3 linked regions of the Rattus norvegicus genome follow. The protein of the gene in region 3 interacts with the protein of the main gene of each other region in a biochemical or structural test. Links are inferred from orthologs where the notes say so. Each region holds a gene or a part of one and is shown on either strand. Other genes may lie near its edges. The genes, in order: Gadd45b, Mapk8ip2 and Map2k7.

Region 1 (3,745 bases), on a different chromosome or scaffold from region 3:
GCACAGTGGGTAACAGTGGGGGATGGGCCGCCAGGTTTCGTAATAAACCCGCGTCTTAATTGCTATGAAGCTGGAGTTGGGTGGTGGCGCCTACAACAGACAGCAGTAGCGTCTGGAGCTGCGGAGCTCAGAGCTCCTAACACGGCTTGGTGGCCGGTGGCGCGACACAGGGTAGCCAGAAGGGGCGGTGGGCAAGTGGGAAAAACAACGAGAACAGGAAGGCTTAACCAGTTTATTGGAATGTCTCTGTAGTAGAAATTTTTAAAAAATATGCAAGCGATCTGTCTTGCTCAGCACAATACTAAAGTAGATGTGCCTTAGCTGCGAAGTCCCGGGCTCGAGTCCCGGCTCCCGCGTCGAGGGTCGCCGCCCTCCGCTGAGTTACGCACAGTTCACTGTCCAGCGGGGTGGGGGACGCCTCGCCCCACCCCTGCGGCGGTGTCCAGACCGTCTGCTGCTGCGTGCAGAGGCTGGCTGCATGATTGCCAGGCCTTGGCTCTAAAGTCTCTGTCTCCTCCAGCCTGAGGTCCCCTCCTTCCTGTCTTGGCGACCACCTGTGGTGCTGGCTCCTGGCTCCATAGCCCAGGGGGCGGGCGGGCGCACACTCCCCTCTCCTCGTCTCAGTCTCGGTGACTCCGCCCCTCCCGGAAGGTATCACGGGTAGGGTAGCTTTTGAGGGATTGTTCTGGGGAATGAGGGGGCGCTGTCAAATATGTATTTTATTTAATTTTTTTAGGGGACAGCAACTCAACAGTTGCTTTAGGTGTTTAGAGTGGGCCTCAGCGTTCCTCCAGAGAGATATAGGGGACCCACTGGTTATTGCCTCTGCTCTCTTCACAGTAACTGGCCACCTCCACCAAGCCTTGGCTTTTCCAGGAATCTGTATGACAGTTCTGTTGGAGGGAGAAAAAGAAAGGGTTTAGTGGGAGCTCTAGGAGTTCGGTAGGGAGCCTCTGTTCAGCTCCAGAAGCCCTATTAGAGAAAAACAGGCTAGCTCAAAATAGCTGCCAGGGTGACGAGGCAGCCCACGGGACATGCCGAGCATGGCTGGGCAGTGAGCTGGTGTTGGAGCAGCCAGCCCAGCTATGTTGACAAACACGGGACCCAGGTGATCAGGGCGGGGTGGGTCACTCACCGTGACCAGGAGGCAGTGCAGGTCTCGGGCCTCGTTTGTGCCTAGAGTCTCTGCCGGCTCACCCAGGAGCTGCGCCAGCCTTTGCATGCCTGATACCCTGACGATGTCAATGTCATTGTCGCAGCAGAACGATTGGATCAGGGTGAAGTGAATTTGCAGAGCAATATCATCCTCCTCTTCTTCGTCTATGGCCAGCAGGCACAAGACCACGCTGTCGGGGTCCCTGCAGGAAAGAAGGAGTGTCAGAGGGACGCCAGACCAGGAGCGGGTGTAGCCATGCACGGAGGAGGGCATTAGCTCCGGGAACCTCAGGGGGAGGGGTGAGCAAGACCCAGGGTGCAAGGGTGCCGGGGTGGCCGACTATGCAAATACTGATGGCGGGGAGGAAGGAAGCAAGCAGTCCAAAGTTATTGGGATTGCTTGTCAAAACAAAAAACACAAAACCTCAAACTTGCAAAGTCAGGGTTCTGCAGCGAGTCTCTTTCCCTCTCCCAAAAAATTCTCTGAGAAATGTCGCCCTCCACTCCCCAACTCCCAGGAGCGCTGGGAAAGTCCCCCAAAGCCCCGAGCCCTAGAGGGATGTTGGAGCGCGCGTGCATCAGAGGGGCGCCCCCACCCACGCCCGAGAAAAGGGGGTGCTGACTCACACATTCATCAGTTTGGCCGCCTCGTACACCCCCACGGTGAGGCGATCCTGACGCTGCGCGGCCACCAGCAGCTGCTCCACCGCCGCAGTCACCGCCTGCATCCTAAAAGGCCAAATGGGGAGATTAGGCGATGACAGCCCAGCAGACCTCAGGCGGCGGGCGAGAAGACCTCGGTCTCCGTTGTACTCACTTCTGAACCGCGTTGTCGCTCGCCACCAGCTCTTCCAGGGTCATGATTCAGTCACACTTCACAGCGGACCCCCACGGAAGATCCCCAAGGCAAAGCACTCGTCCAGATCCGAACCCAAGAGGTAAAAACCTTCCCGCGCGACCAGAAGTGTCCGAGGCTTTCCGGAGGCGGTGGGACTTACTTTCCCAAGAAAAAAGCAGGATTAAAAAGAAGATTGCAAAAAAATCCCCCTCGAAATTAATCCAAGAAGACGGAGGTGACACGGATCCCGGGTTGACGCGGAGTGAGCGCGCCGGCGCTGCAAGCCGCTTATAAGACCGCCCGGGAGAGGGCGTGGCCAGGGGAGGCATGCACCGCCCATCCATTGGTGGAGGCACAAAGAGCCGAGTAGCCTGCGCTGAGATTGGCTGGAGGTAGGAAAGGGCGGAGCTCGGATCTCCGGCGGCCCCACGTGGGGGTCAGGGCTGGGAGGAGCGTGAACCCAGGCAGCGGCGACTGCCAGCGAATCGAGAGAGGAAAAAAAAACCACACACACAGACAAAAAAAAAAAAAAAAAAAAAAAAAAAAAACACAGAAGTTTCTCTCCTGATTTCCCGGCAGCCGCGCTACGCAGGCCGCGCGCGGGGTTTCCAGCGCGAGAGGCTGGCTTGAACTTTCGGGGAGAGCTGTCTGGAATCCCCTCCCTGTCCCCGGAGAGTCCCTAGCCTTTCCCAAGCTCTAAAAGAAGGGATGTGCATGGGCCAGGAGGCTAAGTCTGCAGCTCGGCCTTGGAGAGTTGGAGAGTGTTTAAATAAGTCTAAGGTATATAGTAAACACTTGGTAAGTTTGAGGACCGTGGGATCCTCTCCCCAAAGTGAGAACTACAAAGGCATCCCACCAGCGCATACAAAGGTGCTCTGAGAACGCTCAGCCCCCTCAGGCGGGGGTCGCGGGAGAGGCACACAGGAAGCTTCCCAGTGGTCGTGGTAGGTGGTTTGGCGGTGCCCCAGGGGTCCTGGCTGCAGAGCACTAAGGGATCCCAGGAGGAAAGATCCGGAACCCCTTTTCCCCGCTCCTGGCACCCCGAGTTTCAGATGAGCCGGGGAGGCGCAGGTGAAGAGCCTTCCAGACGCTCTCCGGAGCGGCCCCGCCCCCTGCCGGCTGCCTCCCGGTCTATCCTCAGACCGCGTCACCACACCTGATCCGGTGCTGCCCCCTGGGAGTGGTGGCTGAAAGGCAGCCCCCTTTTTTTTTTTTTTTTTTTTTTTTTTTTTTTTTTTTCCGGAGCTGGGGATCGAACCCAGGGCCTTGCGCTTCCTAGGTAAGCGCTCTACCACTGAGCTAAATCCCCAACCCGGCAGCCCCTTTTATGTCCCTGGCATTTTTGTAGTACGCAGCATGAACCACAGGCCCCCTCTTCCATGAGTGTCATTTATCTTTCCAAGGTTTGGCCGGCTATCTGCATTGTGCAAAATGGAAACTGAGGTCTCCGAGGGCGTTCTGTGAGCCACAGTATGAGGGCTGGTAGCGGACGGCAAGGACATGAGGGAGGCAGACAGACCCCGCGTGGGATTCTCCCACAGCGCACGGGGGCTCCCGGTGAATCACCCTGAGTCCCCTCCTCCGCCAGCCTGGGTCCTGGCCTCAGCCGCGCGGCTCGATTCGCCGGATCCCCCATCCCGGGTCTGGTGACGCATCCTGCATCCTCCGCGCCGCCCACCCAAGGTGCGAAATGTCCCGGGCGTGAGAGGCGCTGCGGCGACACCTGGCGGTCCCACGAGGTCTCTGCTCACG
Region 2 (3,645 bases), on a different chromosome or scaffold from region 3:
AAACCTCGCTCTGTTGATGGGGTACAGTGAACTGGAAGGAACTCTCCAGTTTCCTGCTTCCCCGCCTTTTCTAGTGCCTGGGACTCCAGGTGATTGATGTACTCTGGCCCATCCCTGTCTTGTTCCTCCTTCCTGCAGGACAGTCTCTCCCTGGGTCGCTCAGAGCAGCCGCACCCTATCTGTTCCTTCCAAGATGATTTCCAGGAGTTTGAGATGATCGATGACAATGAGGAAGAGGAAGATGAGGAGGAGGAGGAAGAGGAGGAAGAGGAGGAAGATGGAGACGGGGACGGCAGAGCAGGGGGAGGATCTGGTTCACAGGAACTTTCTGGAGAATCCCTTATTCCCTCTCCTTCCATAGAGGAGTCCCACAAGCTCCGACCCACCACCCTCCACCTGACTACACTTGGAGCCCAGGTGAGCCTCCTGAGACACACAGTACTAGAGCTGAGTTCGGGGCCACTGTAGCGGGTCCTTTCTTCTCCTTATTGACGGAGTGGTCCTCAGCTATACCGATTTGTCCTCCTACCTAGGACTCCCTCAACAACAACAGCAATGGAGGCTTTACCTCTGCGCCCCCATCTTCCTGGCAGGAAACAGTGCTGCGTTCACCAGTCCAGGAGCCCCTTAAAGGTGAGGGATGGAGGCAGTTAGGAGCCCAGCGGAAGAGGGAGGGGGGGAGGGATGGCTGGTTGCTTGAAGGAGGCCTGCTTTCTGGAGGCAGTAACCCAACTCTCTGCCCTGCAGAGCTACCAGCCCCTCTCTTACCAGCAGAAGAGGAGCACCATGAGGTACAGTCCCTTGCACGCCCTGGTTGTGACTGTGAAGGGAACCAGCCGCCAGAGCCACCAGCATCAGGTGGGGCTTCCCCTTCCTCGGATCCTGGTATCGAGGCTGACTTGAGAAGCCACTCTAGTGGAGGCCATGAAGGTCGGCGAAGCAGCCAGGAGCTCTCATCACCAGGCTCGGACTCTGAGGAGGCAGGCGGCGCACGCCTAGGGCGCATGATCTCTTCCATTTCTGAGACGGAGCTGGAGCTGAGCAGTGACAGTGGCAGCAGCAGCGGCCGCTCCTCACACCTCACCAACTCTATCGAGGAGGCTTCGTCCCCAGCCTCAGAGCCTGAACCTGAGCCCGAGCCCGAGCCACTACATGAACCTCCCCGCCGCCCTGCCTTCCTGCCTGTGGGCCAGGACGACACCAACAGCGAGTATGAGTCCGGCTCTGAGTCTGAGCCTGATCTGAGTGAGGATGCTGACTCGCCCTGGCTACTCAGCAACCTGGTGAGCCGCATGATCTCCGAGGGCTCCTCGCCTATTCGTTGCCCTGGCCAGTGCTTGTCTCCTCCTGCACCACGCCCGCCAGAAGAGGCTGCATCCCAGGCCAACCCGGTACCCCAGGACTGCCCAGACCCTGAGGCAGTAGCAGGGCCCCACGTGGAGTTAGTGGACATGGACACCCTTTGCGGGCCACCTCCGCCGGCCCCTGCAGCACCTCGGCTTGGTCCAGCGCAGTCTGGGCCCTGCCTTTTCCTTAGTAACCCAACACGTGATACCATCACCCCACTTTGGGCCCCACCTGGACGCACTGCTCGCCCTGGCCGCTCCTGCTCTGCTGCCTGCTCGGAGGAGGAGGAGGAGGATGAGGAAGAGGACGAGGAGGATGAGGAGGATGCTGAGGACAGCGTGATTCCCCCTGGCTCCAGGACTACAGGCTCTACTGCGCCGCTGGATGCCTCGCTGGTGTACGATGCGGTTAAATACACACTAGTGGTGGATGAGCACACGCAGCTAGAGCTGGTGAGCCTGCGGCGCTGTGCAGGCCTGGACAACGACAGTGAAGAGGACAGCAGCTGCGAGGCCAGTGAGGAAGAGGCGGGAGCTACGTTACTAGGCAGTGACCAGGTGCCAGAAGACGCCTCTCCTGACAGCCCCGACCTCACCTTCTCCAAGAAGTTCCTCAATGTCTTTGTCAACAGCACATCTCGATCTTCCAGTGAGTGGGAAGTGGGGAGATGTGTGGAGGCCCTAGAGGAAGAAGTGCCATCCTGGCCCCAGCCCCTATCTGGTCCCCCGAAGTATCCAGGGGGTCTTTTTTTTCAGGGGGTCTTAAATTCTTGACCAGTTGGTCAAGGCTGGACCATTCTTTTTTTTTTTTTTCTTTCTTTCTTTCTTAGAACAATAGGCAATGTTCATCTCCAAGTGGCAGGGAGTCAGCCGGTAGTGGGTTACCCTTTCCTTCTTCCTTGACTTAGGATGTCCAAACAGTTTGTTGCAGGGAGGGGGTTTGGCTCCAGCCCAAGGCCAGGCCTTTCAGTTTCTTTCTCTATGGCACTGCTGATTCTCCCCATCACTGTCTCTCTTGTCTCTCAGGCACTGAGTCCTTCGGTCTTTTTTCCTGTGTGGTCAATGGAGAAGAGAGAGAGCAGACACACCGGGCTGTCTTCAGGTACATTACCCTCCCTCAGCCCCACCCCAGGCCCAGTCTGTAGACTCCTTAGGACACTAAGGAGTGTGACTAAGGAGTGTGTATGTGACTTATCTCGGCCAGTGTGGTCTCAGTCAACCTCTCCCCTGCCCTCAGGTTCATCCCTCGACATCCAGATGAACTAGAGTTAGATGTGGACGACCCGGTGTTGGTGGAAGCCGAAGAGGACGACTTTTGGTTCCGTGGCTTCAACATGCGCACCGGCGAGCGTGGAGTGTTCCCTGCCTTCTACGCCCATGCAGTACCTGGTCCTGCCAAGGACCTGCTGGGTAAGATCCCACCCTCCAGAGAAAGCTTGCCACCACAGACTTCCCCCATATCACCCTCTGACCATGTGACTTCCTCTCCCAACCCTCCAGGGAGCAAGCGGAGCCCTTGCTGGGTGGATCGCTTCGATGTGCAGTTCTTGGGCTCTGTGGAGGTACCATGTCACCAGGGCAATGGTATCTTGTGTGCAGCCATGCAAAAGGTCAGTGTGGAGATGGCGTCAGGCACAGGCTGGAGGCCCACTTGAATGTCACTCCAGTCTCACAGGGTGGCACAGCTCCCGTGGTTCTAAGCCTTCTTGAAGGGAGATATTATATATAGGGCTGGCTCTCAGGCCCAGTCAGAAAAACTCAGAGCAGAGCAAAGCACCTGTCTCTCTTACCTCTGGGTCTATTGGTCAGTTCAAGCAAATCTTTCCCCTCTCTGCTGATTCCTCCTCCCGTAAGCCATCAACCTTCTGTCTGAAATTAAAGTCAATGCTCATGCCCCCTTCCCTGGGAATCCCTGAGACAATTATCAGTACCTGCTGATCTGCCATGCAAAACTGAGCCTGACGTGCCCTGGGTGGCAGGACAGACCATCTATATCAAAGAACTCCAGCCAGGTTATGGAGATCAGGCAGTGAGGTGGCTGGAAGTGTGGGCAGAATAAGTTCTTGGCACCTGAACCAAGAGAAGCTGTTGGAACAGAAGGGAGACCAGGTACATAGTGATGACTGACTTGTTCTGAAGGCAAAGATAGCCAAGGTCATCCTTTTGTTCTTCCAGAATTGTCTCTGGGGCCTTAGGTGACAAGAGTACGAAGACAATCTAAAATGAACAGAGGCTTGGAAAGAGAGAGAGAGAGAGAGAGAGAGAGAGAGAGAGAGAGAGAGAGAGAGAGAGAGGGCAC
Region 3 (3,663 bases):
CGACCCAAATTTACATACAAACTTTATCCTTGTACTCTTGGAAGGACTTAAACTATGTTGGATGCGGATGGATCAAGCAGGGCAGAGGCATCTAACCCCAGGGACTGCCTTCAGACATTGGTTTCAGGAGCTGAGTCCGGATTCTCAGGGCGAAGCCATGGGGATGGGACGCCTTGAGGTCTCAGGGCCAGAAGTCTATCTAGCTTTAATCTTGATTCTGACACTGAGCTCAGGAGTCACCAACCCTGGATTCCCTCTCCTCTTGTCAGGCTTTGATCTACTCTCAGTTTGCTGGAACTGGGTGAAATGGAAAGGAGTTACCACAGGTACCTAATTACAGTGAGGAGGCGGCTTCAAGCTAACAGCGAGAGTTCAGGCCGCAATTAAGCATAACAGGTCCTAATGAAGGACTGTCCAAGGTTGAGGAAGGTTGTTCTGTGAGGGCGCGGGTACCAGAGAGGCCTGGAGATGCACACGGAGTGAAGAATAATCCAGGAACAGCCGTGAGCGTGCGCAGCAAAGGCGCGAGTTTGGTCTCTGCACGCAGGCGTGCGGTTGACCGGCCTTCGCTTTCTCTTTTTTTTTTTTTTAAAGTGATTTCCAACAGCGCCACACCCCGCCCCCGGAAAGCTCACGCATGCGCACTGCGGGAGGTGGCGGTGGGTAGTGACAATGCACGAGGCCAGACTCGAGCTCTAGGTGGCATCGTCTTCCTATTGGGACCCAGTGCGCACGCGCGGCGTTATGCACGCGAGGCAGGGCGGGCACGAGCCGGGGTGGTCTAGGCAGGACGGCGGCTCGGCGGGGTCATCCTAGCGCAGGCGCAGTGCGGTGTTTGTCTACCCGGGACTGACGGGTGGCCTGGCGGTGAGCGGCGGCAGCGGCGGCGGGGAAGATGGCGGCGTCCTCCCTGGAGCAAAAGCTGTCCCGCCTGGAGGCCAAGCTGAAGCAGGAGAATCGTGAGGCCCGCAGGAGGATCGACCTCAACCTGGATATAAGCCCACAGCGGCCCAGGCCCAGTAAGCACGGCCGCGTGGGGGAGGGGCGGGCGGGGCGGGGCGCGCAGTGGGAGGCCCCGCCCATCGGGCAGATCCTGCCCCCGCTTCCGGGGCGCTAGCTCTCCTCCCCTCCACTCTCTACGCTGTCAGCTTGCAGGGAGAGGGTCACGGTGACCTGGGAGTCGGGTGGGCAGTCTCCAGGGCTACTCGGTCCCCACACATACCGCGGTCCTGAAGTTCACAGCATGGGTACCTGAGAGCTTAGTGTCTGGGTTCCCCTCACCCCCATGGTCGGCTCCCAGAGCCTTGTCACCTGCACCTCGCAGGCTTTCAGACCCGAAGCTAAGCTACTGTGACTACAGCCAAGGCTCTCAACTCTGCAAACAGTTATATCTCTTTTGATTCAGTGGTTCCACTCCTGCCGTTTCAGTGACTGTCAAAAGGTCCCTTCCCCCAGCAAACAGTCCACACACGTGCATGCTTGTCTGTCCACGTAGGTCACCTAGTCTTCATCTACATCTAATCCTTTTCGGTGAGAAGCTTCTTCCGTTTGACTTCTTTGATCATATCAGATGGCTCCTTAGCTGGAAGGACCTTGTCACCGGACCCAGCTGACTGCCTCCTACATACAGGGGTACCTCATATCCCTGTGACCAGCTAGTTTCACTATTGCTGTCTAGTGTGTCTAGCCCGCTGGAAACACATAACCATCTCTCAGCCTGACAATTTTGTCTCCTGGGCTCAAGTGACTGCTAGCACTACAGACACCTGTAATTAGTCTAGTTCCATCAAGTAGACACACACCTCCTTTCTGATTCCACCATCTTTGGGTCTGCCTCCCTGACATATAAGTGCTTCCCCTTTCTTTCTGTACACATATACGGTTTGTCCATCATAACCACAGTTAGCATCCTTGTACCCCAGATATCCCTGTCCCCAAATCATCTTTGCTGGAAAGAATCTGATTTTTCTCTCTTCTTGCCAACCTTCTCTCTGTCCCTCTTTGATCCAGCAGAATGTCTTCTTTATATCCTCTGTGATATAACCTTTGAGTATATATATGTTTTATAGTTGTCTGTGGGGTCACTATGGTAAGAGGGGAAAGGCAGCCTCCCATAGGAGAGAATTCTGTTCACTATTTGGTCGTCTTCCTGAAGAGGCATTCAGGATTCTCTCCATCTCTCCCAGCTTCTGGCCGAGTTCCATGTTTCCTTCCTGGGAGTCTCTTCCAGGACCTGGAGATACCCAGAGGTGGGGGATGTGTTTCATTGGATTCTGCCTAGGACTGAAGGCTGGGCCAAGACTTGGAAGGCCCCTGCTGGATTCTAGGGTGGTCCTTCCACGCCTCAGTATGGATGAGACAGTGTTGGGTATAGGGTTCTACGTGCCCTAAGAGCTGCCGGTCCGTAGAGCAGATTAAGACCTGGTCAGGCTAGTGACTGGCAGGCCTCAAGGAGCCCCCTGCAGGTGTCTGTGTCTGTCAGATCCACACCCCCTCCCACCATCCCATCTCTGTTGGTTTCTACCCATCTCTGCAGTTTGGTGCCTTGTGCCTCCCCCTCCTCTTCATTATGATTTGATTTCTTTTCTGTTGGACAAATCGGTTGTTTCTGTTGTGATTTATTGTGGTGTTTTTTTTTTTCTTTTCTTCCTTTCCCCATCCAGTTATTGTGATCACTCTAAGCCCTGCTCCTGCCCCGTCCCAGCGAGCAGGTACCAGCCTTTTTATCATTGCTGCTTGCGTATCTGCACATTGACCTAACCGCTGCCCCAGCCGCAGAATGCCATCCCCACCCCATGCTCTGTGTTGTGCTCTGTGTGTGTGTGTGTGTGTGTGTGTGTGTGTGTGTGTGTAAATAAAGTAGGTAGAGATAGGTGCACTGCTCTTACTTAATCTGTCTCAACTATGGAGTGAGTGAGTCGTCATTTGTACACTGTGTCTCAGGCCCAGGAACACAGCAGTAAGTAAAACAGACCAAGCTCCTGTACGGTGCTGAGTCTGCAGGACGGGGTCCATCAGTACACACGAAGCACAGTCCTGATGCAGTAGAAGAGTCCAGTGGGGTCTCTCAGAGAAAACCTATGGAGGATTTGGGATTTGAGCAAAAGTGTCCCAGGAGGTTAGGGGAGGCAAGACACCCCCTGCCCCCACCCCCACCCGCACACATAAGGACTCCATGCTAGGTAGCTCAGCTGTGCTGGTTCCTAGGTGTATAGTGTCCCATCTGCATAAGAGAAAGAGCACCTGTGTTGGCAGAAATGAGGAGAGCTGACTATTGGTGGTAGTGTGCTCCCAGCTCGTGTGTATACGTGGATGTGTGCATGTGTGTTCCGTGTGTGCTCCCAGCTCGTGTGTATACATGGATGTGTGCATGTGTGTTCCGTGTGTGTTCCCAGCTTGTGTGTATACATGGATGTGTGCGTGTGTGCTCTGTGTGTACATATTTGTCTGTTTGCATTTGAGTGTATGTATGTTGGGCCGGTAGTCTGCACACCTAAGGGCCCCATAAGTGGGCACGTGACTCCATGATCTGTCTTGCTTTCTCTCATTCATTCATTCATTTATTTGTTCGTTCATTCTCACTTTTTTCTCCCTCACTGACTTATACTTAATCTACTCTCTAGGCCTGCCATGTGGCTCTAATCCCCTCTAACTTCTGTTCTC

Evidence for each region.
Region 1: the proteins of Map2k7 (region 3) and Gadd45b form a complex in vitro, tested with the Homo sapiens proteins (2 studies listed by BioGRID and IntAct). The link is inferred for Rattus norvegicus from reciprocal best matches to the Homo sapiens genes MAP2K7 and GADD45B.
Region 2: the proteins of Map2k7 (region 3) and Mapk8ip2 form a complex in vitro, tested with the Homo sapiens proteins (2 studies listed by BioGRID). The link is inferred for Rattus norvegicus from reciprocal best matches to the Homo sapiens genes MAP2K7 and MAPK8IP2.

What each region holds. Positions count from the first base shown.
Region 1 is NC_086025.1:9,428,471-9,432,215, forward strand, and holds Gadd45b (growth arrest and DNA damage-inducible protein GADD45 beta), read right to left. Parts: upstream 2,249-3,745; 5' UTR 2,017-2,248; coding exon 1,973-2,016; intron 1,885-1,972; coding exon 1,783-1,884; intron 1,359-1,782; coding exon 1,136-1,358; coding exon of another isoform or gene 932-1,135; exon of another isoform or gene 894-931; coding exon 780-893; 3' UTR 219-779; downstream 1-218.
Region 2 is NC_086025.1:122,409,207-122,412,851, forward strand, and holds part of Mapk8ip2 (C-Jun-amino-terminal kinase-interacting protein 2), read left to right. Parts: intron 1-138; coding exon 139-417; intron 418-533; coding exon 534-633; intron 634-747; coding exon 748-1,995; intron 1,996-2,372; coding exon 2,373-2,448; intron 2,449-2,583; coding exon 2,584-2,756; intron 2,757-2,846; coding exon 2,847-2,956; intron 2,957-3,645. UniProt on the Homo sapiens protein: The JNK-interacting protein (JIP) group of scaffold proteins selectively mediates JNK signaling by aggregating specific components of the MAPK cascade to form a functional JNK signaling module.
Region 3 is NC_086030.1:7,388,458-7,392,120, forward strand, and holds the start of Map2k7 (dual specificity mitogen-activated protein kinase kinase 7), read left to right. Parts: upstream 1-809; 5' UTR 810-895; coding exon 896-1,019; intron 1,020-2,663; coding exon 2,664-2,711; intron 2,712-3,663. UniProt on the Homo sapiens protein: Dual specificity protein kinase which acts as an essential component of the MAP kinase signal transduction pathway. Essential component of the stress-activated protein kinase/c-Jun N-terminal kinase (SAP/JNK) signaling pathway.